4 linked regions of the Styela clava genome follow. The protein of the gene in region 3 purifies or fractionates together with the protein of the main gene of each other region. This does not show direct contact. Links are inferred from orthologs where the notes say so. Each region holds a gene or a part of one and is shown on either strand. Other genes may lie near its edges. The genes, in order: V-type proton ATPase catalytic subunit A-like, V-type proton ATPase subunit F-like, renin receptor-like and vacuolar ATPase assembly protein VMA22-like.

Evidence for each region.
Region 1: the proteins of renin receptor-like (region 3) and V-type proton ATPase catalytic subunit A-like purify together in Homo sapiens (co-immunoprecipitation; 3 studies listed by BioGRID and IntAct, with this or other methods). This does not show direct contact. The link is inferred for Styela clava from reciprocal best matches to the Homo sapiens genes ATP6AP2 and ATP6V1A.
Region 2: the proteins of renin receptor-like (region 3) and V-type proton ATPase subunit F-like purify together in Homo sapiens (affinity purification with mass spectrometry; 3 studies listed by BioGRID and IntAct, counting the BioPlex papers as one, with this or other methods). This does not show direct contact. The link is inferred for Styela clava from reciprocal best matches to the Homo sapiens genes ATP6AP2 and ATP6V1F.
Region 4: the proteins of renin receptor-like (region 3) and vacuolar ATPase assembly protein VMA22-like purify together in Homo sapiens (affinity purification with mass spectrometry; 3 studies listed by BioGRID and IntAct, counting the BioPlex papers as one, with this or other methods). This does not show direct contact. The link is inferred for Styela clava from reciprocal best matches to the Homo sapiens genes ATP6AP2 and VMA22.

What each region holds. Positions count from the first base shown.
Region 1 is NC_135253.1:4,236,609-4,244,446, forward strand, and holds the start of V-type proton ATPase catalytic subunit A-like, read left to right. Parts: upstream 1-4,517; 5' UTR 4,518-4,639; coding exon 4,640-4,721; intron 4,722-4,935; coding exon 4,936-5,064; intron 5,065-5,413; coding exon 5,414-5,488; intron 5,489-6,662; coding exon 6,663-6,802; intron 6,803-7,468; coding exon 7,469-7,606; intron 7,607-7,838. Other genes in the region: intraflagellar transport protein 57 homolog, read left to right, coding at 407-536, 986-1,083, 1,172-1,261; neuferricin-like, read right to left, coding at 1,641-1,845, 1,951-2,137, 2,363-2,503, 2,859-3,222. UniProt on the Homo sapiens protein: Catalytic subunit of the V1 complex of vacuolar(H+)-ATPase (V-ATPase), a multisubunit enzyme composed of a peripheral complex (V1) that hydrolyzes ATP and a membrane integral complex (V0) that translocates protons.
Region 2 is NC_135256.1:13,317,707-13,324,053, forward strand, and holds V-type proton ATPase subunit F-like, read right to left. Parts: upstream 1,992-6,347; 5' UTR 1,859-1,991; coding exon 1,496-1,858; 3' UTR 1,079-1,495; downstream 1-1,078. UniProt on the Homo sapiens protein: Subunit of the V1 complex of vacuolar(H+)-ATPase (V-ATPase), a multisubunit enzyme composed of a peripheral complex (V1) that hydrolyzes ATP and a membrane integral complex (V0) that translocates protons.
Region 3 is NC_135256.1:9,500,101-9,508,675, forward strand, and holds the start of renin receptor-like, read left to right. Parts: upstream 1-5,293; 5' UTR 5,294-5,464; coding exon 5,465-5,495; intron 5,496-7,577; coding exon 7,578-7,745; intron 7,746-8,201; coding exon 8,202-8,293; intron 8,294-8,464; coding exon 8,465-8,575. Other genes in the region: protein farnesyltransferase/geranylgeranyltransferase type-1 subunit alpha-like, read left to right, coding at 67-152, 371-494, 1,376-1,598, 1,979-2,124, 2,529-2,591, 2,846-3,023, 3,510-3,599. UniProt on the Homo sapiens protein: Multifunctional protein which functions as a renin, prorenin cellular receptor and is involved in the assembly of the lysosomal proton-transporting V-type ATPase (V-ATPase) and the acidification of the endo-lysosomal system.
Region 4 is NC_135263.1:13,922,882-13,930,397, forward strand, and holds vacuolar ATPase assembly protein VMA22-like, read right to left. Parts: upstream 2,130-7,516; 5' UTR 1,894-2,129; coding exon 1,261-1,893; 3' UTR 603-1,260; downstream 1-602. Other genes in the region: gem-associated protein 5-like, read right to left, coding at 1-26, 431-602; cholecystokinin receptor type A-like, read right to left, coding at 5,490-5,588, 6,419-6,556, 7,012-7,119, 7,354-7,516. UniProt on the Homo sapiens protein: Accessory component of the proton-transporting vacuolar (V)-ATPase protein pump involved in intracellular iron homeostasis.

The sequences.
Region 1 (7,838 bases), on a different chromosome or scaffold from region 3:
GTACAGTGGGACACTGGACAAATGTTTCTCAAAGCAATCTGGTGGTAAGATGTGTGTCGCAAGAAGATTTGAATAAAAATTACATTTATAAGCCCCCCCCCCCCCCGAAATGTGAAATGATTGTGCAAAATAATTGAAATGAAAAAACTATTGCACAGGGGTTCCTAGAGCCACTGGAATCTTTCATTGGGGTTCTTTACACCAAAAAGGTTAAAAATTACCAGACATAGCTAATATTGCATATGAGCATAATATCCTGTCACTTCATCTAATCTTGTCCTTTGAATGTTTTTTCATATTTTCCACATAACAAGTTTAAACCACAGTCGTCATCAGGAAATTGTGGGCAATGGGTCACACTGATTTGAAAAATAATGCAGTAAGCTGATCTCATTTTTTTAAACAGACGAAAGAGAAATACAGACAAGGGAGTGGAGGAGTGACTCAACATTCCAGAACATTAGCGGAAGTTACAGAGGAGTTGGAAAAAGTTAAACATGAGATGGAAGATAGAGGAAGCAGCATGACCGATGGAGGTATGACATTTGAAATCAATTTTCTATCTTGACATGGAAGCTCGAAATGAGTCCACAATACCGAACTTTAGGCCAGGGCTACTCAACCATTTTTCACCAAAGATCTGTGTACAAAACCCAAAATTATTGGGTTATGGTCTTTTCAGAAAATATATTTCACAATACGCCTAAATTTATTTCAGTGCTTACAGTATTTAGGTTATTAATAAAAAAGCGATCCACCAAGACGTTTATTAATTCGCCAAAGTTCTTTTCGAATAGAGTGATCCAAATATTTAAAACTAATAAAACAACCTCTGAAACTATAAATCAAAATAAGAGGAAACATTCACGAGCCTAATGTAACAAAATAAATTAAATGCGGTTCAAGATCAGGCCCGGTCAGTCAGTTGAAGGCTGTACCGAGTATAGTAGCCTAACATAAGTTTGAAACACTGTATTGCATTTAGCTCCACTTGTCCGTATCAAGCAATCACTCAATAGATTGAAAACGGAATCTACACAAATGGATATAAGAATCGGAGTAATTGAACATATTTTAATGCAGGTATGTCTCCATTCATATGTGTACAAACAACCTGGTTATCTATTTTTAGACCACCTAAACCAAAAACAACTCATAATTGTAATTCCAGGCTCGGATGAGAGACAAAACTATAATGCACAGCAACATGAATCAACCAGATGGTTCTGCAGAGTATAATTCATTCGGAAAAATGTATTAAATGCTGCTACAACATTGTATATTATTATTTATTTCATTGCATGATTTATTTTTCTAGAAATAAGTAATAAAAGTGTATATAACAGTACTGTGTAAAAGTGCAATAATCGAAACAAGCTTCAATATGAGACAGGACAAGTTAATTACTCTTGGGTGTCAGGTAAAAAAAGTCCTGTAGTGAGACATATTGCAATAGAAAATCCTAGGGCCAAGGCACTTCTGTAATATTCAGTCTCGTTAACTATAAATAACATGTTGTTGCTGAGTGTAGTGAAAGCCTGTAACAAACAAATATTGTAGTACCGTATAACATATTGCAACAGAATTAGAAAACATACTATGCTACTTGCAACTATGAAAAAAAACAATTGATACATTATTCAAATTTTGCATGAAAATGATTTTGGATCACAGCCTTTGATTTCTTGTAGGTATGGATAATCTAAGTTTCCTCTATTGTCATCAACTTCTGTGTGTCCCAATGAAGGTGGCCCGCTATCACGAATACATACACAGTACGCATTCTTTACTCCAACCGGTTTGAGCATCCTTGGTACCCCAACCCAGTCCCTTTCTATCCCCCCACTGAAAAACAAAATATTTTAGTAGTATGAAATTGTTGAGCTTTTACAGTTTTCAAGTCACATTTTTAAACATTAGTTTTGTAATCTATTTTGAAACTTTTATTACCTTTTCGTTGAACACCATACTCTAGAACCCGTCTCTTGCGTCCATTCTGAGTTACACCTTGGAAACAACTTTTCATGCTCCTCTTCTTTTGCCTTTAATTTCCTGGCTTCCATCATTTTATTCTGCGCTTCTCTCAATGCTGCAGTAGGTTGTCCATTCGCATCATAAAAATTCCCAATTAGCTTTCCTAAATTGCATAAAATAGAAAAAATGGTCACATATTGGTTATACAAAGAAAAATGAAAGCAAGAGAATGTAAGTAAATACTGGTAATCTTGGGATATGATACTTGGCATTGTTAGCCCTATGAGCATTTTATTAGATTTAAATCAAAGCTTATAGAGCGGTTACCATTAGCTAAAAGTAGCATGTCATTATTCCAATATATTTAAAATAGGATTATGCAACTTACCAACATACGTGTAATCTTCTTCATAAAATGTAACCCAATTTTCATATTCCCCGAAATGTTCAGCGCCTACCCCAGTAAGGTCATCAGTGAGCCCCTTATCAGTGAAATCACCTGTACTATATGCTTTAGTTCCATCTCGACCTAAAAGCAAAAGAAGCAACATGTAGCAATAACTTGTTAATACAAATTGAATATCTACAACTGAGGTTGGATATACTGCTTGTCTAATATTCAAATTATCATCGCTTATATCATCAAAACAAAATTATGTTTTAGTCGACCTAATAACTGATCATGTGCAAGTTAGTTGCTGGACTCAGTGCCACTTCTGCACTTGGGATTGACGGTCAATTTCTACCTTCAAGTTTGACAATGAAATGATGTGATCAAAAGTTTTATTGTCTTTGCTTAGAATCCGTATGTTATTTTGAACAGTATACCAGTATGTACCTTAGAAATTGAAACGAATCATTAATTACTAAATTGAGGATCATACCAGCAAAGAAGTCATATCCTCCGCCAGGTTCATAGAACTTAGCCCCTTTTGAAACATCATAAACTTTTCCTAATATAGCGAGATACAATCCCTTGCTATCCTTTCCACCGCGGTAGTGGTTCCATAGCTCTTCTTTTGTAAACAGCCGATCATTGGTCTTTTCCGAAATTGACGACTTTTCAGAAGCCGGCGCACTTTTTTTGGCAGCAGGTTTATTTTGTTTTTGTTGGAAAGAATCCATGAATCTTGAGCCCGATTCGAAAACATAGGCCTTGGCGGCTTCAATTTCTGTTCCATAATCTCGAACAAAATACCCGATCGCAACACCTAAAACAAGCACGAAAATTCCAGACTTGAAACCCATTCTGCAAAGAGGTAGCCTAGACGTTACCGCAGTTGACTACTGAGACACCACATCACAAATTCAAGCTTCGTTGGCACGTCATGAACTTTGCATGCTCGAATAAACTTCGCTTATTCAAGCTAACATTTCTCTATAATTGATTTGTTGAGATCATGTAATACTTGCGAGAACAGGATTAACGCCAATAATATTGTGGTTTAGGCCTAGGGTACCGGTACCGTATGTGGTTTACATTTACGAGGGTGAAAAGGCAGCCGACCGATGTGCAAAATCATGTTTTTATGCAAGGGTCGATTTCAGTCACCCTATATCAGTTTATGGGAGAGGTGCTTGACGATGTAATAACAAAAACGTTCCCTAAGTTCCAGATGGATAGGGTGTAGAGCAGCTCGTCACGGCGGCTAACTCCCCGGTTAAAAATCTAAATACACTTATCGTGCAACAAAGTTACCGTACCGGTACCGGTACAGAAGCTGACGGTCGTACTTTTTGGTATCCACCTATTTAGTTTTATAAATCAATGGAACCATCGTTTAACGACTTGATATATGTGGGATCGTAACAAATTTTTCATTCTTGAAAAACCAATTGGTTGCACCACATTCATCTTTCGAAGGAAACATCTCTGGTTTATCAGCGGGAGGTCAAAACTCGTGACAGGCATGTGAGAAGCTAATGATGCGTGATCGATAAATCATTCTTATTTAATTTGTTCTTGTGGCGTTAGGGTTGCGAAGATCTGAAGATCAGTGCCGGACAGCCGGTGATTTGATTTTAAAAGCAATTCTAAGCAAAATGCACGAGTAAAACAGCTGGCTACGCACGTTATATAGAAAATAAAGATTGGGACTGCACTTGATGCTTGAGATGGTGCTGAAGTGAGAAATACCTACAATCCAAGTTTCGCACTGCCTTCGTTTATTTTTCAAAAATTATTCGTTAGTAATGTTTACGTGGACTACCGTAGGCTATATTACAATATTAGTGTACCGGTATGTTGGCTGGTTGACCTAGAGCTGTAGAGTAATGAATGTGGTTTGATTAAAATCTCTACCAAATACTGAAATAGATGAGAATTGGGGTTTTGAGGTTTAATATATTGAAATTGTAGTTATCTTTATTGTTCATTACTGCATTATGTTAACGCGAGCTTATTCCATGTGTGTTTAGGTGAGTGAACACGTACGGTTCTCTTCTTCTTGGCAAAATCTTCCATCTTATATTCTGAACTTTTTAAATCTTATGTAAGGTCTGAAGGTGTTGTTTGCTCTCCTGATTTCATAATCAGTTTTTATTCGTTTGCTTTTAATAGTCTTATTCTAATATCGATTGTTCGTAGGTTCTGACCATATAGTGTATTTAGCGGTGGACACTTTTTGTGCAAAGATTCAACTCTATTAATCTTTATTCGGAAATCATGGATTTTAACAAACTCCCCAAAATAAAAGATGTTGAAAAAGAAGGAATGCTCGGAAAAGTATTTGGGGTATCTGGTCCAGGTAAACCCCTCTAATACATTTTACTGTCTAGAATCAGTACATCTTCATCTCAACGCTTTAGAAAATAGTTTTGGGAAATCTGAACTGGAAATATTTAATACAACTTTAGTTTTGGCGAACTAGATGAGTTTCAATAATAAGTCTTACTCTCATTATGGCATATATATTTTCAATCTGTAACTACATTACTAATATTCTATACTTTATCTTACAGTTGTGATAGCTCAGCACATGTCTGGCTCTGCTATGTATGAACTTGTCAGAGTTGGTCGATCTGAGCTTGTTGGTGAAATTATCAGACTTGATGGCGACAGAGCAACAATTCAAGTATATGAAGATACGTGTAAGTGAAATATTTCAAATTGCATGAACAGGAATAACTTTTTATTTGGGTATTACAAATTTCATTTCATTGGTCGGTACTCCCATTGTATGTGTACCAGGTTAGGGTTAGGCCATAATTTTATTCAGATTTTCCTTATTTTAGTTCTATCACGAGTTCTGGGACTGTCTGCGTTAGCCATGTGAATATCCCCCTGCCCATAGGTTCCAGTCCCTTCACACAACTTGATGTAAAATGGGCAAACAAAATCCAAATTGGTACACATACTTATGTAGCGCCCATAAGTGAACAATTCTCCTGCACATTATCATCAAAAAAATTTATTGAAATATATACATTCATTTTTCAGCTGGGGTAACTGTTGGAGATCCTGTATTACGAACTGGGAAGCCACTGTCTGTTGAACTTGGTCCTGGAATATTAGGTTTGTTCATGAGTATGAGTGACTAGTCAGTTTTTTGTCTCTTTTGAGGTTTGAATGAGTCTATATTTTTGTATTTGTAAATTTGTGGTGCATCAACTTAGCAAAACGACAGAACATAGTACTATAATATAAAGCAGGGATGGCGAACCACTGACCCGCTGGTCACAAAGTGACTGACCCGCCAAGGCACGAATAAAAAAAAAGCTAACATATCAGGGATAAAAATTGATAAAACCGGCCTTAAATTAATCTAACAATAACTATTATAATGTACCATCAATTGGGCAAGGCCGCGATCGCTCATATTCAAATTGGTAATTTTCAGGTCGGTATGGTAATTTTAAAAACCACTAATCTTGACTGCATGTCTGCACCGATGTGAACCGTTATTCAGCTCTGACATAGTTTATGACATAACAATGCCATTGATCTGTTCATTTCTCGCAACGTCTTGCCTCTTTTGGAAGTGCAGCATCTGCAGACTGTTTCAGGGGTTATTTGAGAATTAGATGCTACTTTGAATTTTATTAGTTTTTCGCCTACAATGCCGTTGAAAAAACGAAATCTTTCAGATCTCAAATAAAAATCTAGATATTTAAATTAACAATCGGGCAGTGTAAAAGTGCCTTAATGTGGTTGAAAGCTGATTGAAAAATATAACACTATCAGAGTGTAATTACCTACAAATTCTTTGGAACCGCGAAATAGTTTGCCGCATCATCCTAAACGTTTTTGGTAATTCATATGCGTGTTTTCGTACTCGTAACATAGGTTTAATAGTTGTGACCCACTCCCTTCTGTTCCGCGATAAAAATATAATTTTTGACCCATTCATTGAAAACGGTTCGCCATCCCTGATATAAAGAATTACAGAAATAAAAAGATGATTTTTGATCTCAAAGGAAGGGCAAGTGTTCAAAGAGCTTATAGAAATGTCACACCTTTTTGATTACCTATATTATTCTTATTAACCAAGAATTTTCAAAAAGGCATTAGAAATTAGAGATGTATCGGTATTTGACATAGATATTGGCGTTATTTCACTAGTTTCAGATTGGAATTGGTGAGAAAAGTTGAATTGGTACATCACTATTAGAAATGGGGATGAAACATGAATGCTTGATATTTCTATTGAGGGATGTTCTGTGATTCTTCTTTTTTTATTGTTGTTCAGGAAATATTTATGATGGAATTCAACGACCTTTGCGAGATATTAAGGATTTAACAGATTCAATTTATATCCCAAGAGGTGTCAATGCAACTGCACTTGATCGTAAAGCAAGATGGGAATTTGTTCCTTTGAAAAATATCCAGGTAGATCAGATTTCGTTTTATTGAAATGAGCGTGGAAAATATGAAAAGAAATCTTTGCTTTTAATAGACTATTCACTCTGATATGCTCTTAGGCAGATCTATACAATTTCCGGTGCTCCCATAGTGTGTGAACCAAGATAGCGAACACCGGATTGTAGTATGTGTACCAGGTTAGGGTTGGGCCATAATTTTATTCCAATTTTCCTTATTTTAGTTCTATTACGGCTTTACGGGTTTGGGACTAAACAAGTGACTTCCGTAGTGTTTGTACCTGAAATTATGGCTAAACCCTAACCTGGTATGCATACTACGTTCTGGTGTCTGCCATCTTGGTTCACATACTACGGGAGTACCCAATTTTAATTTAAATACTTTAGTCAGTATATATTACAAAAGAAAATTATATCAATATGAATGTAAGTCACTACTATTATCATACTATTTGTATTATCTGAGAAGGAACTTCGATTTTCAAATATTACTGGGAAAGTAACTTATATGAAGGATGATGTATGATATATTTCGTCATGATTTGTAAAAGCAAAGGCTTGTGTGTTTGAGCTTGAAATTTTTATGCTTTAAATTTATTGACTGTGCGGAGGATCAATACAACACATTTTCAAAGTATTGACAACTTGATTGTTGATTCATTTCCTCATTTTGCAGGTCGGCAGTCATATAACAGGAGGTGATGTTTATGCAACTGTAGTAGAAAATTCACTCTTACAACAAAGATTGATGTTGCCTCCAAAATGTCATGGCAAAGTCACTTACATTGCAGAACCAGGGGAATATGATGTCACAGTATGTGGTTTTCAGTTGCATTTATTGATCTGTCGAATTGCATTAATGTGCTTTTAGTAAACCTGAAGATGAATTAAGTTTGTGCGGCTAATGAAATTTATCCTTGAATTAGAGGTATTTTTGTCATGGTCATGCTTAGATATCTCACTATATGTAAATGTCATAACAATTTATTAAATATATTATAGTCTATAGTTTTAATGGTAGTAATTAAATAAAAATACAATAAAAT
Region 2 (6,347 bases), about 3.8 Mb from region 3:
ATTCGAAGAGCCCGGCCCTACTCCTTGGCAAAAAGTTTTTATGTTGTTATAAAAGTTGTGCCAATGGAAAGGGAAAAACGGCGAAAGCAAAATGGCAACATTGGTGATCCAGAATTTGAGATACTGTATCGAAAACAATAGTGGCTCAAGCGTAAATATATACTACTACGGCTCAAGTCATACAGTAGGCCTATATATTTACGGTCATACACATCATATATTTCAACCTGCCGTCGGATGGATATAAAAGCATTTACCTATTGTTTCACAGAAAGAGAGAAACGATATGTAAAAGCGGGTAAGCGCTATATTAAGGTCGTTGACGAGTGATGATATTTTTGCTCAAAGTTCCGCCATGAAATATTCTGTTCTGGAAATTCTATATATCTTTCAGTGAAATTCAAACGTGCCCTCATTTGTCATTCATTTATGTGCACTTATTATATATATTCAACTTGTCCATAAAATTGAGCTACGTTTTATTAGTAGGTGAAAATAACATGTCTTTCACGCATATATTCTGGTGGCGATTCCGGATTTATGAAAAAATCGGGAGTGCGGAAGAGACTCGTGCATGAACTTTTTCTTATGTTCATTCTGCGTTTCTTCCGCTGTTAAGTACCCCTCGCAAAATATTCTTTTAACAATCGTGCTTTTTTTTAGCTCTAGGTAGATGGTAACCCTGATAGTCATTCCTTTATTTTCTATCCTATAATCATTTCATCGGTGCGTCCGTGATTATGTGAACGATGACGTTTTTCTTTTCTAATTCAAAACACGAAAATTACACCTCAGATGGGCTTTCCTCCACTTCCGGGCGACGTCACACATTGCATATGGTACCTTCAATCACAAGTTTTCATCAACTATACCGTATTTATCATTCTTGGCCGTATCGTTCCCTCTAGTTTTTACCAAAAACGTTGTTGTTTTTTGTATGTATACTTCCATTTACTTGTTTTTGGTTGACAAATTTTATCTAATGTGTACTATGACTAGTTGCTGCGGAAAACGCAACCCTGCTCATACATACATTCTGTTCTTACAAGCTTGCATATGAGACATCAATTCAACGCCATACTGAAGTGTGAACTTTATTGCACAACTGACTTTAAACAAGAAATGAACTTGAAAACTATCACAGACAAGTATATTTGTATAAAAAGCCTATTATAAATGTCAAGTTAGTTGAATAGTATGGAAACTATTCATCAGGAAAAGTCATTTAATCCTTGTCAATTTTCAACAAATTAGTACCAGTAATGGAAAATTGCATGAAAAATCAGTATTGCCAAATAGCTCAGTTATTGAAAAGTTAATTATTATTCTTGAAGGAATGAAGATTGGAGCAAATGCTTATTAATAAGAAAATGTCCTAGTAAACCCAAACTTATCTGAATAGATTTTAAGGAAATAATATAACAATATGAAAGAACAAAAATATATCTGTGACCATGACAATAACTGCAACATTCAGATATTCATTATTAGGTTTTCATCTGAAATCATCCGCACTGAACATTCCTTTCGCTCGCCTCAATATAGAGTCTTTTGATGGATCGTATGGTGAATCCTTAGATGGAATTTCAAGAATTGTTGGTATGGGTTCATCATGAGCATCTATAATGTACCGTACAACTTCAGCAATTGTTTGGCTAATGAGTACAATTGCAATGTCTCGGCGGCTGAGGAATGTCTTCATCTGGTCTTCAATTTCAGAACTGGGAGTATCTTTATCTACAACCATAAAATTTGGTTGTCTTGTTTTGTTGAGTTCACCAATTCCACCAAGGAGAAATCCTGTGCATGTGTCTTCATCTGCAATCACTGCAAGTAACTTCCCTTTAGCCGCTGCCATGATTACTTTTATTTAACCGTATTATCAATAATCTGTAAACATAAAGCAATAGTTTTATTGCTAATAATACATGGTGACCCATGTTCAAACTCTTTAAATGTTTCAAATAGGAAAAGTATGGCACCAGTATGAATACAAATGAGGGAATACCAGTGATAAGAAAAGATAATTAAAATTATGTTTCAATTTTAATTGCATACTTGCATCATATGCTATTGATCTTACGTTTACTATACGAGACATCGCATTGGCCAAAAACAAACTCAGCTTAACTTGATTAATCCATAATCAATAAGCTTTTGCACTTTATCTGTCATATTAGGATTATTAATCAATTTTCTTATTGAATCAGATTCATTTGTATCAGATAATATCTCTGCAATGTCTGTGTTTTCTTTTGCCCTACTATGTAACAGATTCGATGTGTTGCGAGCTTCATAGTCTTTATTTAAGCATCTGTGATATGCTTCTGTTACTTCTTTTACATTTGGATCAAGTTCAAGTGCTTTTTGATATGCATCCATAGCTTTGTCATATTCACATAATGATTCTAAAGCCGCTCCTTTATAAATGTAACCTTTCACAAGACTGGCATCCTTTTTAACACATTCCTCACAATCTTCCACAGCTTTATCATATTGAAGCAATGTCATATGAACTGCAGCTTTTGTCAAATATGTTTTGGCATCATCGGGATTACGTTTGATTGCTTCTGTGAAATGATTCAGAGCCTTTTCAAAATTTTTAGCTGCAAATTCATCACAGCCCTTTGAATATTCTTCTTGAGCAAGTTCAGGGTTGATGTATGCCAGTCTTTCCACTTCTTCTATTTCTTTTTCACATTGGACTAACTTCTCCATAACATCCGAGGATTTATTTTTTGATAAAGATATAGCAAAGAAGTGCTTGGCCTCAGAATGATTTTTTTCTTTCATATAAGAACTTCCAATACGGCCATATGCTTTGGCAATTAGTGCTATGTCTGCACCATGGTTTTGTCCCACATCCACAGCTTTCAAGCAATTTTCTCTGCACTTTTCAAGCTCGCCTTGTTCATAATACACTGCAGCTTTATTTGTGAAAAATATAGCATTTGTCGCATCAAGTATGATAGCTCTATCATAGCATTCCAGAGCTTTTTTAAAGGCCCTTTTCTTATAGAATGAATTGCCCATATCCTTTTCTGCTATGGCAAGATCTGCATCATTATCTGCCATGATTATCTTATAGAAATGTGACTGAAACACCAATGCCGTTATCACAAATTAATGAAAAGCCAATAGTACATTTGTGTATCTAAAATATTACTACACAAACTTAAAGGAAGAGTATTATAAATGTAACCATGGAAACTGTGGTAAGAATAAACTGGTTGCTGATTTGTTGTTAAGCTACCAACTCAGCAACACAACTGAAAATATTTGGTTTTTCTCGTATGTTATTCTGAGTCATACACACCTTGTAACAATGCATTGGGCGGAGCGCAAACACACCTGTAGCAAAGCATGAAGCATAAACTTTTGACATTTACTATAGCAATAGCCGCAATCTTTACACAATGCTTGAATGCCTATATCAGTATAGGCTATAGGAAACACACGAGAAACACTATTTTTCAACACGAAATACAAATTGTATATTGCTGACGGACCAAATAAGTTAATAGTTTGGCTAAAAATATTTTAGCCAATCTAGAAAATTTATTTTTCCAAGTTATAATATTGAATTTCAAGCCTGAACTGCGATCTTTATATGAAGTAACGTTACCCTACTTCTCAGTAAATTGCATTAGCAGTGCCGTATATTCTAACTCTGCAAATAGACTTAATTATACGTCAAAAATTGGGAAAAATTTGATTTAATACCTAAAAAAATCTAAATTTAAATGAATACAAGAATAGCAGTAGCAAGATTGAAACAAATATCTCTGCTGCTTTTAAATTTGTAGATACTGACAAAACCCAGTTATCCTGAATTTTGAATACTTCCAACTATTTAAAGATATTTTTTCTTGGGTTAGATTAATGGAGAAAAAATACATAACTTTAAACAGGTCTACACTCTCAGACTGCACAATTCATAAATGCAGAAATGTCTGAATGTAGCTTAGCTAGATTGTATTATCAAGATATGTACCGTACCGGTAGGACTAAATAATACTGTTTTTTGAAAGTTCTAGCCTAATCAACTAAAACTTGATTCCCTTGTGAGCCTGACGATCGCCGGGAAATCCACGTTGGTCATGTGATAGACAAAGCAAGACGTCAATGCTCAAATATGATAACACTACGATTCTATGACTAGCGCCGGTTGCGCAAAACGACCAGGACAAACGTGACGCCGGCGGGTGCTGCTGCGCTTGACGAAACAAGAGCGCAACGCACAAATGTAGACTTAAGAACAGCATAAAAGCTATGCTCAAATATATGGACACGTTTACCGATTTCAAGAAAAGCAACAACATTTAGCATCAGTTACCGTATAGCCTAACAATGAATGCAAGCTCCGCTTTTACGAGACAGTCACGAGTTAGTTCAGTGTCATCGCGCTACGTTACGGTACCGGAACTGCACTATCTTTAGAGGTTCCTGTCTTGTGACAGCGAACACAAGTTAGGACATGCATTGGTAACGTCATAAGCGCTTGTGTGACGTCACACCCGCCATTTTAGGTCCAGAGTTCTACCGCTATATGAACCTAACCGTGATTATATCCCTCTTCGGGGCCCTTTATCTTTTACCAGTGGGAAAAATCTGATATTTGGTGAAAGCAATACGTTTAGGTCATATATGATAAATTTTTGAAAATTTTCGACACTCCGACTCCCTGGGGGGATTTACTGGATGTTGCACTAGTGCAATTTCTGCCCGGAAAAGACTAATTCCAAGATATCACATGTATGATGTTCAATCTGCAATACTTTGTAACATGACCAGAATATGTACTACGATGGTGGAAAATATTAATGGGAGTGTCAAACTTATTTCATGGCTCAATTCAAAACTTCAATTATGAATAAAAGGCGCATTAAAATGTAAACAAATGTTAATATAGATCATGTTTTTGCACTCTATGTAGTTTCGCAAATCAAAATATTTAGAAAATGCATATGAGTTGTCTCTTGACACTTTCGTTTACCTATTTCTCTGAAATTATCCTGAAACTTTGAATTTCCATATATATTAAAATGCAAGAATATAGAAAATCTAGATTTAACATCGAAATAATTTTGCATTTACCTGCTGTTACGTATTTCATCGGAGAAAGACTTTTTAGCGTGAAAGTCATTTTGATTACGCTACGCTGCGAAAAATTAGAAACCAAGTTTTTTGGTAGCAGAAAAATCTTTGGCAATTTGTGTGTTTATTTACATTTTTACGATTTCGATATTTTTTGGACTGTATGTGTTCTCTTTCTACTTCAGACTTTCGTTTGAATTTATCGACCGACCCTGCCCCCACTCTGGAAGACACTATAAAAAAAACACTGCCATCGGTAGTTTTCTGCAGCATTTGTGTTCAGACAAATTCCGTTTTTGTGTATACATTTATTGTTTTGCTCCATATTTAGTTTAGATTGGTTTATGAGTAGATTGCAATATGTTTATGGTGTTGTCAAAAATTCGGAGCAAGAGAAAAAACTGTGCTCCCTCGAACGTTGAATTAGGTTCTGTTTGTCTGGGTGAACGGCGCCGCCCTCGGACTTTCAAAACACGACTAAGTTCCAACTTTGGATTTGTTTTTAGATTGCTATTGTCTGTCCATATAAATTCCAACAGTCAAAATGCTGAAATGGTCTGATTTTTTAGGCTCGAAATCTTAGCTACATAAATATCGTTCTAGAAATTACGTGTTTCATCAAGATCAGCCTCATCATATTCATAATTGTAAGTCTCAATTGCCTCTTTATCTGAAAGTGTGGCATTAGAAATACGCGTTAATTCAACGCAATTTCTGCAAATATTTTACCCGTCGGCATATTTACAATCGTTCTGCTAGATCGCTGAAAATACAAAATCTAAATCAATCTGAGACACTTCTCTATTATTTCAACCCCGTATTTATGGCTAAAATACTTGGATTTTATTTGGTTTCAATCTGAAACATATCACTCGTGCATACTTTATTTCACGCTTTCTGAATCTTCTGTTTACAACAAAATTATCGGAAGCCAAATTTTCCCCTACTCGGCAAATTCTCATAATACTGCATTCTAATAAACCTGATTGTACCTTATATGACATAGGAAACTCATAATCTACGTTATCTTCTCAATAAGCCAACATAAATGACAAAACTAAACAGACGAATATTAGCTAATTTAACAACCAAAATCCACTTCTGAGGGAAGATGTTGCACCTATGCTACACCAATTTTAAACCACGCCCTCGTAAAACCACATAAATCGTTCGAGGTTGCAATCAGTTTGTAAATCTTGTGTATACACTATTTTTTTGCCCCGTGCAGAGATTTGACGAATTTGGTGTAC
Region 3 (8,575 bases):
ACAGTATTAGGCCTACTTACAGCTGTACAGACTTAGACTATTGCTACTCACAATTCTTTTTTTCAGAGATCGTCCAGAGTGGAATGATGTAACACCAGTACCACAAGATGATGGACCTCACCCAGTTGTACAGATTGCTTACAGTGAAAAATGTATTCCTTCTTTTATTCACTTTTATGGTTACTTTAATTTATCTTTAGGCCCATCTTTGTTTCTTGATTTTATCTCAAGAATGCTGATAAGAATTTGATTGTTCCCCAGGGCAAATTATATGGCAAACTTAATGGATTGAAGGATCCAATTAATATAAATATTCTGATAGGCTATATATTATCCACCTATAGTTATATAATTGTTACCATTTTTACAGTCAAAGATGTCTTTGATTACTTTCGAGCAGTTTTGAAATCAAACGAAAAAAGTGAACGAGCTCTCGAACTCACAAAAAGTGCGATTGATATGAATCCTGCAAATTACACAGTATGGCAATATAGGTATGCAATATTTGTAATCAAACTGGTTGGTGTATTATGTAAGGTGTTGGGAACACACTGTTGTCTCAAACCTAATAAATCTGGCCGAGAAATGCTGACTAAATTGCAATCGAAGTGATGTGCAAGAAGACTTCTTGCCATCAAAAGGTTGTTCTCATAACTTTTTGCAGAGGCTATATGTTATAGCCATTTGTATCCATGAAAGAATGCGATTAGGCTTTTTTTAACACCTCTGCTGGAAAGATTTGCCATAAAGCAAGCAAAATACTTTCAGTACAAAATTTTTTTTGAGATTTGAAACATCGCAGTGGTTGGGAACTGGCTGTTAATTTTGAATGACTAAAAGCCTTATTGGTGGGGATGGGATAGACAAGTTAAGATGACGAAGTTCGTTACAATATCTGTCACAGAGGCAGAATGACATCATATTTTGTCAATGGCTAAGATTGTGCATTCTTAAAATTACTTTTAGAGCAATGATATTCATAGTCTTTCAATTTGGATAAGGCTGATCAAGTGTAGGTGTTGGAGCAAGATGTCCAGAATGGGGTAGCAATACTCCATACGTGTTGATTTTTTTTATAATTGGGATACAATTCTGCCTCATCCTGTTCAATTTTGAATAGTTATGCTTTCGTACCTATATTAACCACTTACTCTTTGGCTAAATTATTTTATAATCAATTCTATCATACTTTCAAGATCCGTTTTGGGGTTGCTATTTTGACTGTGAGATTTCATTGTCATCCTCCAATTGCCAAGTGTTCTTTACTGCAATATTTCGTAAGATGTATTCGGTCTCACCTCTTTTTACATAGTAGTAATAGTATTTTGATAATTCATACAGTTGTGATTAATGGCATTCTCTCATTTTTATATAGGAGAGTTCTCTTGAAACATTTAAAAAAGGACATTACAGAAGAAATGAATTTTCTCTCTGGTCTTATTACCGAGCAACAAAAAAATTATCAGGTTTGGCATCACAGACGAGCGCTGGTTGAATGGTCAGGGGACCCCTCAAAAGAATTAGAATTTACGGCAGAGATTTTGAATTTGGATCATAAAAATTATCATGCATGGCAACATAGACAATGGGTAATAAAAGTAAGTAAAAGCTTAGCATTATCTTCTGCGTTTATAACAATATTTGTTTGTATATAAAATACATAGAGAATCTGATTACTGCAGATTTTTGTGTGAATGACAGCATTGCATGAAGAGTTTTATGTCAACTTTTTGAACACAATATAATAATGTTTATTATAAATTTGTTAGACGAGGAAACAATAAATTTCGGAAGTCTCGAATTATTGTCTTTAAAATTGAAATTGATCTACTCATTTTGTCAATGATTCTTCTGCCCTGGATACTATTTGATTCAACTGAAATAGAAAAATAAACATACTTATAGTGGCTGAAAATAAGTTGAAAAATGAAGTTAATAATCTGTTGATAATTAGAAAATCACCTTCCATACATTGCAGGAATATTTATTATGGGAAGGTGAACTTGATTTTGTGGATTCATTTCTTGAGTCTGATCTTCGCAACAATTCTGCTTGGAATCACAGATATTATGTTGTTTCTCATACTAAAGGATTAACAGACGAAGTTGTTAAAAAAGAAATTGAGTAAGATCATACATTTCTCATATTGTAAGTCTGGTTATATTCTGTTTATTGCAGAGGTTCCTGGCCAAAGATTTATAGAACACCAAGCGGTAGTGTGATGAACAAGACTCATTCATCCAATTCTCTTGTAATTTCTGAGAGGAAAATCAACATTGAAATTGCATATACGCCGAAAATCAATTTACGTAAAACAAACATTTTTTTCCCATTTTTCAATGAACTGTAAGTTATATAACATGCAGTTATACAGTAAAATCAATATAAATACAATATAAAATACCACACTAATCTAGAAACGAAACCATGCATTTTGAGAATATGTGTATATGAAGCTAGAATCATGTGTTTTATTTGAGCTCAAATGATGGCGCACTTTATAATAAATTCTGAAACAACATTTTTAGATACGTAACAAAAAAGATTGATATGGTCACAAAGAACGAAAGTGCATGGAATTATTTGAGAGGGTGAGTATTTTTTCAAATTTGCCAGCCAGTAGTTACCATATTGGCACAGAGAGATTTGAAATGAAGCATTATTAATCGCTAATTGTTAACCACTTCGGAATATAGTATATTTGAATCATGGGTTTCACCCAAGGTTGCCAAATTTTTCAAACTCATGGCTTGTTCTTGTTGGCATAAGGCGGTTGATTGTCCGGTGCTCTGATACCAGCAATATTGTTGTGATTTAGGTTATTGATTATTATTCTTTATTACAGCATTCTTCTCGATCGAGGCTTAACGTGGAGTGAAGAATTAAATAAGAAAATTCACTCATGGAGAGGAGAAGGATTGAAGTCCCCTCATCTGTCGGCTTATTTGTTGGATATGTATGAAGAAGAACTAGGAAATAAGAAAACAAATGATGTCAAAGAAACACTGCACAAAGCGATGGAGGTTGAATTTTTTATTATTTCCTATGTTTTTTATGTATAGTGTGAACTGGACACCACAAAATTCAATGAGTTAATTGATATATTTTCAAAAATGGTTTGTGTTGATTTGAATCGGAATGGTGCTCGATTTGTATGTGATATTGAGCTAGGATTTTCGGACTTATTCGAAGAAAGACTTACTTGCATGACGCCTGGTTACCAGTCCATGTCAAGAATGGGAATATAATATGAAACAAATATTCAACATTAATTTTGGTTATTCTATCACCATTTATTAAAGGCTTCTTTAGTCTGAATTTTTCCTGTCGCTGGGGTAATAAAAAAATCAATGCAATACATTATTTTCTTCTTAATTTGGAGAAGACCCTTGACAATCAGTCACATAATTGTGTAGAACTACCGAGTTTGAAATTGTAGGAACATTTCCAGTTAGTGCAACTTGCCAAATGTAATAATATATTGACCAATCATAAAATTTCCATAACAGCTATGCAAAGAATTAGCAGAAGACACAGACAAGATCAGACGCAACTACTGGGAATTTTTTTCACGATCTCTAGAAGAACGATATTCATGAGAGACTCTTCCAATCGCTGGAGAAGGATGGCTTCTTGCCAATCATCTGAGAATTTAATTCAGAATACACTAATGATCAATTTCGATCCACATATCATGTGAACCTTTGAGAATCAAATTTGTTGTGCTCCAGCTGGAGACAGCACATACTTTTATTTGTTTTATAAAGAATCATGCAACGGCTACGTTGTCAGTTCAGTGTGAACATTGACCAGTAAATGTATCATTGCTCATTGTGTCCAGTTGTGAATTAGCTATTAGGGCCCCAGTTGTTCGACAATATGTAAGTACACTTTGGTACTGTTATTAATGGGGCAGAAAAGGATTAATGGGGCAATGTGAATTAGGAACTTTTATCATTTATTTTCTATTATGCTAGGCGGTGTGACACATCATGCTAAGCGTTAGAAATACGCTCTCTGTTGCATTTCTGATTAACGCGACACTGGGGATAATAGTGTGTGAGAGGATTGCTAGAATCCTCACCACCGTATGCGGATTCACATAGCGGCTGGTCTCTTACCACTTCCCCAACCATCGAGTCAATACATTTGGAACAAATAACTGGCCAACTAATCCCATACCTGACATGGACTGCTAATCGGACGAGAGGATGTGGTTCATCATATGATTAAGAGAATTATCAACTTTTCTACTTCTACACAAAGTTTTCTTACCTGGGTTTTAGTGTTGGTGGAGAACCGGTACCTATATTCAGAAAGATGCATTGAATGTGGTTGATATCGGATATTGTACTCTTACCGCGCATTGTTTGATCGATCTAACCTGCGTAGCTTGCAATAAATGCTGTATGGACCTTTCCCCGACCTTTGACCCTCGAAAAATTCTCCCTATACTTTACCATTGCAAAATTGTCAGGGCTATTTTAAGAGTGCTTTTGCGAGTTGGCGCCTGTAAAATGGGGTATGTGTTTCAAACCATCATTATGTTTCATCGCATACAACAATCTGTTTTTTAAAAGTACCGGTAAAGAATTTCAGGCTAGTCTATCACAGCTATTTCTACACTAACTTTTATTACTGCAATTAAATTCAAACTCCTAGAAAGACAGAGTGATCATTGAATTATCTGATTTTTATTCAAGTTCCCAAAACACAACTGAAAACTAACGAATAGAGTTCAAAAACGCGAAAACGAGGTAATGTTTACAATCACGCTTGAAAATCTGAGTGAGAAAAGTGTCTGAGCGGATGCAAAAAGGGGGCATTGTTACGTCACTTTTTGCATCTTGCTGATTGGCCAATGTCACGAAGTAAACAAGGAAGTCGATGCTCGGGGAAAGGTCAATTACGTTATTATACAACAGTAATTTATTTATCTTTTTAAAAAAACATTTCACTCTGTAATACACAGTTTTATTATAGAGGGTTATCATTCTCTGTAGTTTCATATGCCGCCGCTGGGGCTCGCGGCTGCTGTTTTCCACCTATTTTTCCAAATGATTGATGCTTTTAGGTGAGTGAACCGGTACCACTCTATTTTGGCAACTCAACTCAAATTCTGTACGTCCAAAAACCTTACTTGAAGTTTTATTTTATCTCCTGGTTCTATCTCCAGTTTTAACCTATATGTTTTTATCAATTATTTTATCGTCTGGTACCGGTATGCTGAATATGGTCGAAATAAACTTAACTTCTACCTATACACTCATTAATATTGAACAACGGACTCCGTTCACCCCTACCTGCATCCCGTGATCCTAAGAAGTCAGCTTCCTATCGATCAGGCTTGACGTTATAAGTCTGTAAGTAATATCCGTTTAGACTTCTTTACTGGTTTGCTGCGAAACAGAATTGTTGTTCTGTGTACAGTCTCCAACTCGAATACAAGTATCACTAGTGTGACATGGATGAACTTCGTATTTTTGTGTGTCTTGGTAAGTTTACTTTTTTGCCCAGAAAAATTGAAGGAAAAGGGTACTGCCATCGTACAGGACGGCAATTGGCCATTTTCCTCCAGGAATAAATAAAAAAAAGTTACGGTACCGGTAACCATAAAATCCGAAAACTGGAAGTTTAAAAACATGAATTGGATTCTTCATATCTGTATATATCATTTATATGTAATCAAAAAAGACAAAAGAACCCGATACCCCAATCCATGACTTGTGCATAGACTGCTATGGAACATTCGGGTCTGGTATAGTTTAGTACGACATGCACTTCTAGTTGGCCTGGCTCAACAATTTTTGCATATGTCAATCCTAACCCTCACCTGACTACGTCACCCAAAAATTACGTCATTTTGACGTCACAGTGGCGTAATAATGCCTACCAAAGTATGCGAATGGTCGTCCAAAACGCGCAGACGAGCACCCGAAATCGAGCAAGCTATTTCTCTCGTTTTCTCGTCACAACGATCACGATAGGAGAGAGATAGCCGGCTTTAGCGAGTTCGTTATCGGCGGCGCAGATGTCATTTCGGGCGATCGGAATTATACTTTGGCAAGACCTATGACGTGATGGCGACGTCGTAGTGACGTAATTTTTGGATGGCATAGTCAAGTGGGGGTTAGGAATAACATATGCAAAATTCGTTATGCTACGCCCACTGGAAGTACCTGTGGTACTAAACTATACTACACCCGAACATTCAATCTATTTATCAAGCTTGTTTTTTTAGTAACAATTTTTTGTCACTGCTGCACTGTGTTGTTTTTGCAATGAAATTGAACTAGGCCTACAGCATTACCGTTTTGCGTCAGGGAGTGTTTTTTTTGTTCCATGTTTTTGTATGAAAAGCACTGTTGTGTTACACATACACGTCTTACATTTATAATTTAAAAGGTAGAAGTTTATTGCATTCAATTATTTACTTCAATTTGCTGTTTTCGGTAAATTGCTCTCAAAGTACTGCCCGATTGTAAATCGCGTTTTTCTGTGTTTGTTTTATTCTTTTTTGGTGGGCGGGCACGTACAATGTACGCTTTTTAACTTTTTTAAAGTTATGCCCATCTCCCAGGTATCTCTGCATTTTGTTTTGTCTGATTACTTTTTGTATTGTTTATGCCAGAGAACCAAAATAAATGACTGATTGATTTATTTGTAAATAAAGTTATTACACAGCCTGTCAGGCTGTGGTAGTGGTATATACAGATATAGGGTGGCTTAGCTAATTTGCGGCCATCAACTTCATCAATGTAATTAATGTCGAAAAAATTAACACACCGTGACGATATTACTCATGCGTTATCGTCCACTTATCCCTCGTAGCTCTGCGAAATTACACTAAAATGCGGCCACAAACAACGAAGTTACGAACTTACGACCTAACACCCGACTTGAAGAAAAAAAAAACGAACCTTTTTTTTATGTCGCTAACTACCCATTGTCCCTGTAGAAAAGCTTGAAAATTTATAGAAATATAAAGAGAATGAGATATAAAGATAAAACTTGTCAGTTGGGTAGAGTTGTGGTACTTTTAACCATCTTTAAAGTTCGCGTTTCTACATTTAAAGAAGGGGGAATGGGCTGGGGGTGCGCATTTCCAAAAGGTCGATAATATCTTTGTCGACCAATATGCGACCATCATGTTTTTGTGTGTTTGATCGCTGTGATGTGGTGCTTTGTTTATAATTTGGCGAATTGTGTTTGAAATAACCGTGTTCTTAAAATATTTGACGGTCAGAAATGCAATTAGAAGCCTAATTTTTTCATGCATGGCTGCTTAAACGATTTCCAAGTCTCAAAATCACTGGTCTTTCGGTCGCAAATACGTCTTCCGAGTATCGTACTCTGGTGGTTTGTATAGATTTAACCCCTGATTTTAGAAAGTTAATTCGAGTTGTAGTGTGTAGAATAAATGCCCATCACCTACAGTAAAAAAATTAATGGGTTAGAAATATTGGTTTCTATTTTATAGCGGTTTGAATGAAATCGTTCGCAAACTGGCTGTACCATTCTACTGATATATGGGTACAGTAGTATGGTTATGAAATATTCCATTTGTTTTTCCGCAGCGCTCATTTCAACATGTCTTGGTGAGTTTTACATTGCAAGTGCACCGAAAACAATGAAGTTTATACCGAGAACTGATCAAACTGTTCGAAGACGCGAACTGCCGGGAATCATCAATTTCATGATGGGTTTGCCTGCACAATATTTACATCGCACTGAAACATGGCCAGGTAACGTTGTCGATATGCAATTTCAATTGTTAGTTCAATTTACAAATTGGATGTATTTCGACTTTTGATGACGAAACCACATTTTTAAATTGATGCGGTTGTAAATTTTTTTGTGTAGATTTTTTCATTCAGTCACGCTTCCTATATTGTATCAGACAAGTAAATCTTTGTTGGCTTTGTAGGTATGGCCTTATGATACACCCCACAATACCATGAGTATCTGAGAATTTCAAGTTGAGATATGATCCAAAGAATATTATCGTGTGTAAATGATTTTGTTGCCAAATACCTGTAAGCGTCAAACATCTCGATTAGAAATCTTTTTCATGCAAATTTGTTCAAAGTAAAGGCATGGTCCTCCAACTGAAAGTCCACAAAAGACCTAATAGAACATGCTATGTTTGAAAGCGTTATACTAGTTTTTTGGGTTCGCAATGTTTATATAATTTTTTTAAGGTCTTCAGAGCATTGATTTGTTCAATCCACCAACAGCGAATGTTCTGATAACGTTACATCTTCCAAAAGGGAACGATTTTGCTTTGAGCAAGGTATTTTTGTTCTATCCATGATATTTTATTGTTTTTAAATATTTTATTCTATAATATGTATCCAGAAATCTTATTTGTGTAAGTGCTTTTTTCACATTTTTTTGTTTAGATTTTTTAAAATTTCCTTATCCATTTATTACCTTTAGATTTCATGTATTATTTCTATTTTAGCACATCATCAAGTACACAACAGATAATTTGGAGTCAAGCATTCCACCAATATTTGAAATGAATTCTGCTCTAATTTCTGATTATTCAAGTCAATCTGTCATTCGATCATTT
Region 4 (7,516 bases), on a different chromosome or scaffold from region 3:
TTTATCAGTATGGCCACTCAGGATACCTAAAACAATGATATATTTGGCCATAATAACATTGTAATTAGCACATAGACAGGTTCACAATATACAACATCTGACTTATGCTCATTGCTAACCGAACCCTGGAGTAGTGATGTATAACAAACAAATAAAAAATTACTGTACAAAAATTCTATAAATCAATAACAGTATAGTTAGGTATACCAGTGAAATTCAGATCAATCTAGAATTTGAAATCTAATAATTTTTTAATAGACCGACAAAATAAAAATTTTGTTCAGATTCATTACGTTACACAAAGGGGGAAAATACTGATTCAAACCATAATTTTTCTCCACAAAATGCAAATTACGGAACTAGAAAAAACTGTAACCACATCTTAAAAATCCCATGGAAAACAAATAAAAAATCCCATGAATAATCCTACCATAAATTTCAGCTCTCTTTTGTGTCAAATCCAATAAAAATACCAAATTTCTCGATCCAAATGCAAGAATTCCATTATGTGAGGTATCTATACCTCGAGACTGATACCACACTGGTGACGATGGAAGAACAACCATATTTATACTAAATATTTTACCATAAACATCTAACATACAAAAATTCTTTGATTAGATGTTGTTACATAGTAGAAAAAATGAAAATCTTGAGTATTAAATATGATTCTTTGCAATAATGAATAGTCTTATACCAGGGGTAAATAACACAGGGCATACATGTTTAATGCGGCACACCATGAGCACGAACATGACCCGCATATGGTTTGGTAGGAGGTAATTCTTTATGGAAACAACTGCATCTCAGCTACAGACTCGATTCGCAGATAAATATTTAGATTTAGTGATGCGCATCGCTATTTCTTCTTTGAAGCCCAACATACCAAATTTTAACTTCAGAAGTTCATTCATATTACCAATACATATTCGAAAGTGGCTTGGCAGCAACAACATTATTTCAACATTACACTTTGGCACATATGCTCATTGGAAATGTGTACTCCGGGTATATACAACAACATTTTTTATATAAAAATTCAATTTGTAGTATAGATATTACCACACCAAAACAGGAAAATACCTAAAAAGAGCTTCCCATAACAAACAAATATTGCAAATGAAAATTGAAATTATTGCAAGTTTTTATCAAACAATAGAAGTGTGGTACACTAAATGAAATCTCTCAATGGGTGCTTTAAATTTGATTCACGAGACATAAGCAATGATCATTCACAATAAATATAAATATAATAATATTTCACTTGATTGAAATCTCAGAATTTAACTCTTTAATTTTTGTTTTAGCCAATTTTAATTGAGATTGCAGTGTGCTTATATCACCAATGATTATGGAGGCTTTTCGAAATTCAATTTGGCATTGCCGAAGACTTTGTGGAACAAGCACACCAAACCAATTTAATGGATCAGTTGGGGTTGCAATTTTATCTTCTTCGCTGATATCAATATCAGAAACAGCAGATGGCAATTCATTAATAGAAGACTGGACGTGATCAGTATCATCCGTTTCAATGTTTTTGTCTTCAGAACTGCTATTGCCTACATTTCTTTTCCTTAAAATTGCTTCTTTTTGATCACCACTTTTGGTTTTGTTTTGTTTTTCTGATACTTTTCTTTCATTTTTGTTATGTTGAACTTCAAATTTAGAAACCTCATCATCGTTTTGTTCAACATTAACAGTTACATTTGCACTCATTACAGAAGCATAATTCAGTTTAGATACTTGTTTCATTCCCATGACATATCGTGCCTTTGACATACAAAAAAATCCATTCTCCATACATGTTTGTAACTGCTGCTTTTTCTCGTGAATTTGTTGTATTATTCGCAAAAGATTAAGATATTGAAAATCCAAATTCTGTTTTGAAGCCATTCTTGCGTTTTATAATTTGGTAAAAAGAATGACTTTTACTGAAATAAAACGGGCACATTGTTATGAAATTCCAATATCAGAATATCTATTTTTAGCACCTTCTCTGCTGGATGTCTGCCGGACTGGATGAAAAAAATAAAACAGTCTGACAGTTTAAATAAATAGTGAACCATGGGTGCATGATTTGAGATATTTCTAATCAATCGTATACCAGTATACTGGTATCCTGTAATGTTATATATAGAATTTGGCTGCAAACCAAATTTGGGGTCTCGTGTAGTTTCGTACCTAACGTACTTCTGGTGGGCGTAGCATAACAATTTTTTGATATGTCAATCCTAGGCCCCATCTGACTACGCCATACAAAAATTACGTCACTACAGCACTATGACATCACAATCACGTCATAGAGCTTGCCAAAATACGTACAATCGCCCGAAATGGAATTGGCGCCGACGATAAAGAGCTGACTGACGTTATCGATCTCTCTCCTATTGGAATCGTTGCCACGAGAAAAATAACTGTTTGATTTTGGGTGCTCTTTTGCGTGTCTTGGATGGTAGTTCGAATAGTTTGAAGGGCTCTATTACGTCACTGTGACGTCGTGTTGATGTAATTTTTGGATGGTGTAGTCAGGTGGGGGTTAGGATTGATACGTGAAAACATTGTCATGCTACGCTCACTAGAAGTATGTTAGGTACGAAACTACATGAGAGATGAGACCCGGTCTGTGCATCTACTGCCTACTGGCTTAGAAATTTTTCTATAATTTTTTCGAGTAGACCAGAGCCTGGAAAAGCCGCCCTGGATGGCACTGAAACTATTTTTATTGAATACAGATCCTACCGGTACATAGCTGATAATGTTCCGGCACACCATACAGCATACACGATAACACGAATAAGCGGCTTGCTCCCGCACCGCGCACATGTTTGTGTTGTGCTTCATGCATCTCCCTGCACTTTAACGACATCTTGTGGTTATCAGATTTACTTTCCATTCTCGGTAGGTATTCGTGAAATCGTGAGTATAAACGATTCTATTTTTCCTATTGTTTATTGCTTTTACTGCATTTTGCAAACTCCTGTTATATGGATAATTGCTATTTTATTGCTAAGTTTTACAAATGGCCAATAAACATAAAAGAAAAAAATCATATGATCAATGTTTTTTAAGTTCAGTTTCACTGAAATCACGACAATATACAACATGATGCACAACTCCGGCATTTGTAACCGAAGATCGTATCCGATAACACGCTTCAATCAATGACATTAATGTCATTGCTGAAATAAAGGGCCAGTCGAAATGGGTTATTTGTATCAAAGGATGAAATTTAGTTTTTGGTGAGTTTAATGATTTTTGGGCAGAAGGCTATTACTTTTGTGCATTCCTAAATTTTCTATAAATTCAATGAGATTTAATATTTTATCCAAAATTTTGATATATTTTTATTTTCATTGGAACACGGCAGTTTCCGGTTTAGACAGGACAAGCAATCCGCCAAATGAAAAGGGTGGTTTTAGAGTCAAACTTCTAAGACGCTTTTTGACCAACTGAGTAATACGAATAACTTCTGATGTTGTTGTCATCATAGCGCATTGTGAGAAAAATCATCAAAAATATTACTCAGCACAATCTTCACGACAGTTATTGTATTTCATCATTTTTTAGAAATTAACAAAAACGTTCTCATCTCCCAGCCCACTGATTAACACTCTGCGTCAGAATAATCCAAGTCGAAAATTATAAATAAAACGAAATGTATATGTGGAAATCATTTTATTAATAGAAAAGTGAACAAATAATTTACAGACACGATGAATGATTAATCTAAATTGTAATAATGTGTTGATACAACCACTATATAGTATTATTTGTCGTGAAAAGTTTTGAACATAAAAAGCATTCAATATTAGAAAAATTATATCTACGGTATATGCCAATTGCCATCGACAGTTGCAAACTAATATCTTTCTATAAAAAAAAGAAATTTTAAATACTAGTTCTTGTAAAAATAATAAATGATGGATAAGAACGTATAGAGAGAGTAATGATGTATTTTTATTTATAATTCTATAAATATATATAAAATTTAATTTGCTCTTAACACGAGAGAGCCTAAATGAACCTATCATCTCACTCCATTGTTTAAATTTTGAAGTATGATATTAAAAATGATATGTAAAATGATGAACGGACTCGAAACTGTAATTTTGGGGGCCACCAAAACAAGTTCAATCGGGAGCTAGTACATTGTGTGATGTTAGCTTTCACTCGATCTAATTTTTCTTGCATTTCATCCCATTTTTTCACCGTATTGTAGATTTAAGCGTACGATTTCCTAGTTCAAATAAGCTGTGTCAGACAACCTATTTTCAATATGAGTCCCTGTCACCCCCTCGCTGTACTCAGCTTTGCTGGATCCGTTTCTTTGCGAATCACACTTGTGACGTTGATGTCACCATAGTGCTTTGTGTCGTCATCGGTCGTCGATTATCCTGCAGAAAGTGACGTTAATTGGTATTAGTAGTAAATGGTCTATTATGATATAGATTTTGTAAGAAGGATGATTATAACAACAAGAGATCGTTACTTTGATAGTATCTACAGCTGTTAATGTAGGGTACATGTAAAGATGCGTTGAATACGATAAACAACATCAATTCATTTCGAGATTTCGTAAACACACATTCAGTTACATGCAAACATATTGCTGTATTTTAAACTTTGATGTAGGTCGTTTCGATGTTGTTAGATTGTCTATAATAAGTTTAAGTACAACTCTGATTTGCTTTTGCCTTGGTTCAGAGATATATTCAAAACATTACTACACAGGCAACAAGCTTATGCAAATAGGTCAGCCTATGAATTCAGAACGCAAGCCAGGCAATTAAAATTTGAGCATGACATTCATTAAACGTATAGTAAGTAGTAACTATGGGAAAACATTGAAGTGGATTCCTGCATACATGAAACGTTGAGGATGGTAACAACAATACGGAATTCCTAACCTAAATACTTTTGTTTCTACGACATAGGTGTACAACGTAAGAATTGAGACCACAATGGCGCTCGTAACTTGTTTCAAAATGATGGCTATGGTAACAAAAATTCAATATAATATCTGTATTATCTGTGGAACACTGTGCGTTTTTCTGTATTTAGAAAAAATCATTATAGCCTACAATCAAATACTGTTTGTCATATTGGACACGATAACATGCACCACAGAGTTTCCTTTGGTCAACACTGCGTTTAATAATCTTTGTGTAATGAAGAAGATATTTTTAAGCATAAAAACAGTATCATTAACATGGAGGGTTTCCAATTCTGTTTTAGTCAAATTAGTGTCGCAATGAGGAACGCCAAGCGTCTCCTCCAGTCACACCATGCGTGCTTGCTTTAGCTCATTCGACGCTGCGCGACAATTTAGTGTTACTGCGTAAAATACGTTATATAATCTGTTAGGCCTTGCTTATACCATGCTGCAAGTAAAATGAAATGAGCTTCGGATCGAAAGACGATCTGAGTTAGTTAGTAAGCGTAGCGCGTGCGGTGTTAGTTGTGATAAAGCTGGTAGTTAAACTGGTTTGTTAATGACCTATTATCCAGTCTTGGCATGCACTCCACTGCAAATTACCCACGACTCCAACACCACGGTCACTCATAACTTGACGAAATGTGGTTTTGAACTGTAAACAATACCATATACATGATTCGGATAAATAAAATGGGCTTGACCAAAGTCGATAAATCAAAGACAAAACGGATTTTGAAATAGTAGGTATATAGAATATTACGTGTCATTTCCAAAACCTGGGTGCATGACGGCCACCGGCAGTTAAATTCTTCGAACTAAAAGCAGAGAATGCGGACTTAATGTATTACTTCAATTTTATGACATATCTAACGGTATCATAGTTCAATCACTTTAAACTGAGATAGATTACTTATACACAATCACGTTCCAACAATAAGTTCACAAAGTTACGTAAAATTGGATGTGGTAATATTCATTGCGCATTGGCAAATGAGTAGCACTTTATATTTTTGACGTCGACTGTATATCCTTAAACAAACTACGACTGCACAAATGAAACAGCAAGCCCCTTACCAGGATCAGCCCCTTATGTTTTAGTTGAATTTTCCGGTCTTAATTTATTGAAATCAGATTGCCTTATATTAAACACTGATTAAGACTATATTATTACAAGTTTTATATTAACATCGACTTTACTAATAACATAACTAATTAGTAATAACACATACTAAATATACCTAATTCAATTTGAATCAGATATTTTTAAGATTGGCTGACAAAACGCACGTCAGATTAATGAAAATAAAAAAAAAGCCAAACTGTGTCACAACTCACATCAAGCAAAAATACTGCCTTTTCAGTTAACCATGATAGTTACTGACATAGGCTGCATCAAGTCTGAAATAAATGGATAATATCTCCAGCGTGTAACAATTTGTAACTTGAGTATTGCATATGGAGTAAATAATGAAATGTTCTTACTTCCGGTCTTTTCGGTCGCCATTTTTCTGGAAGGCAACCGCAACAAATACAGAATATGTTCAAAAAAGCTTGTCTGAATCTTTTATTCAGAAAACAGTAGACGACAGGATTGACGCATGTTGAAACGTAGGGCAGAATCTGAAAACAATCAAGATGTTTAAACCTTAGCTTTTGCCAAAATGCTTTCTTGCTACTATATTAAGACAGCTTTATTTATTCGACTGTGTTTCTAACTTTCGAAACGGAAAGTATTTTAAAAATCACTAATCAGTTTTATGAAAGTTTAAACCGTTGAATTCTGGAACAAGCGATAAAAATTTAAAAACGACTTAAAATGTATGATAGTTGAAAATAGAATGTCGAGGCCCCGGATGTCTTCCATGAAAAAATATATATATATTTAAATTCTGTAATTGAATACTACGTTACCTTCTACGTTCAATTGGTTGTATCTGAATATCACGCACAAACACAAAGAATTATGTGCTTTCGTAACGATTAGAACCTGCTTAGTAACAACGAGCTGAATGGGTCAATCCTTTATAATTATTTAATCATAGAAAAAAATTTGACATCAAATATTTGTAGGCTACCTGGATGACAATAATGCCACTCTGTAGTTTTCTTCTGGCAGTTTGAGGATCAAACGATTTCCAAACATTCACGACGAAGGTGGGTGTCCAACACGCGAAAAATAAAATCTAAAACAACACACAAGGAGTATTAGTCATATATACACATTTCCCAATGCAAATTTATCAAAACAATGTGGCCTAACAGAAGAAAAACAACGTGGAGTGTTTTCATCATGCACATTGGGACATGCTTCAATGATCCACGTGACGATTTTTATAAAAATCGTGTAACTTTGCATCTAACTAAAATGTATTCTAATGAATATTTGGTATGTCAACTTCCATCCAGTCAGAACTTACCACAATCACGATCAACATCTCCACAACTTTCTTTTTCGCTTGAAGTTGTTTTCGTGTCTCGTTCTTCCGGGAGTCTTCTTTCTTTGAAACACCGTTGCGCAAGGATTTGGGATTTCTACATGTTCGTAGAAATTTTTTGAAACCTTTTGTATGTTCCGAATTA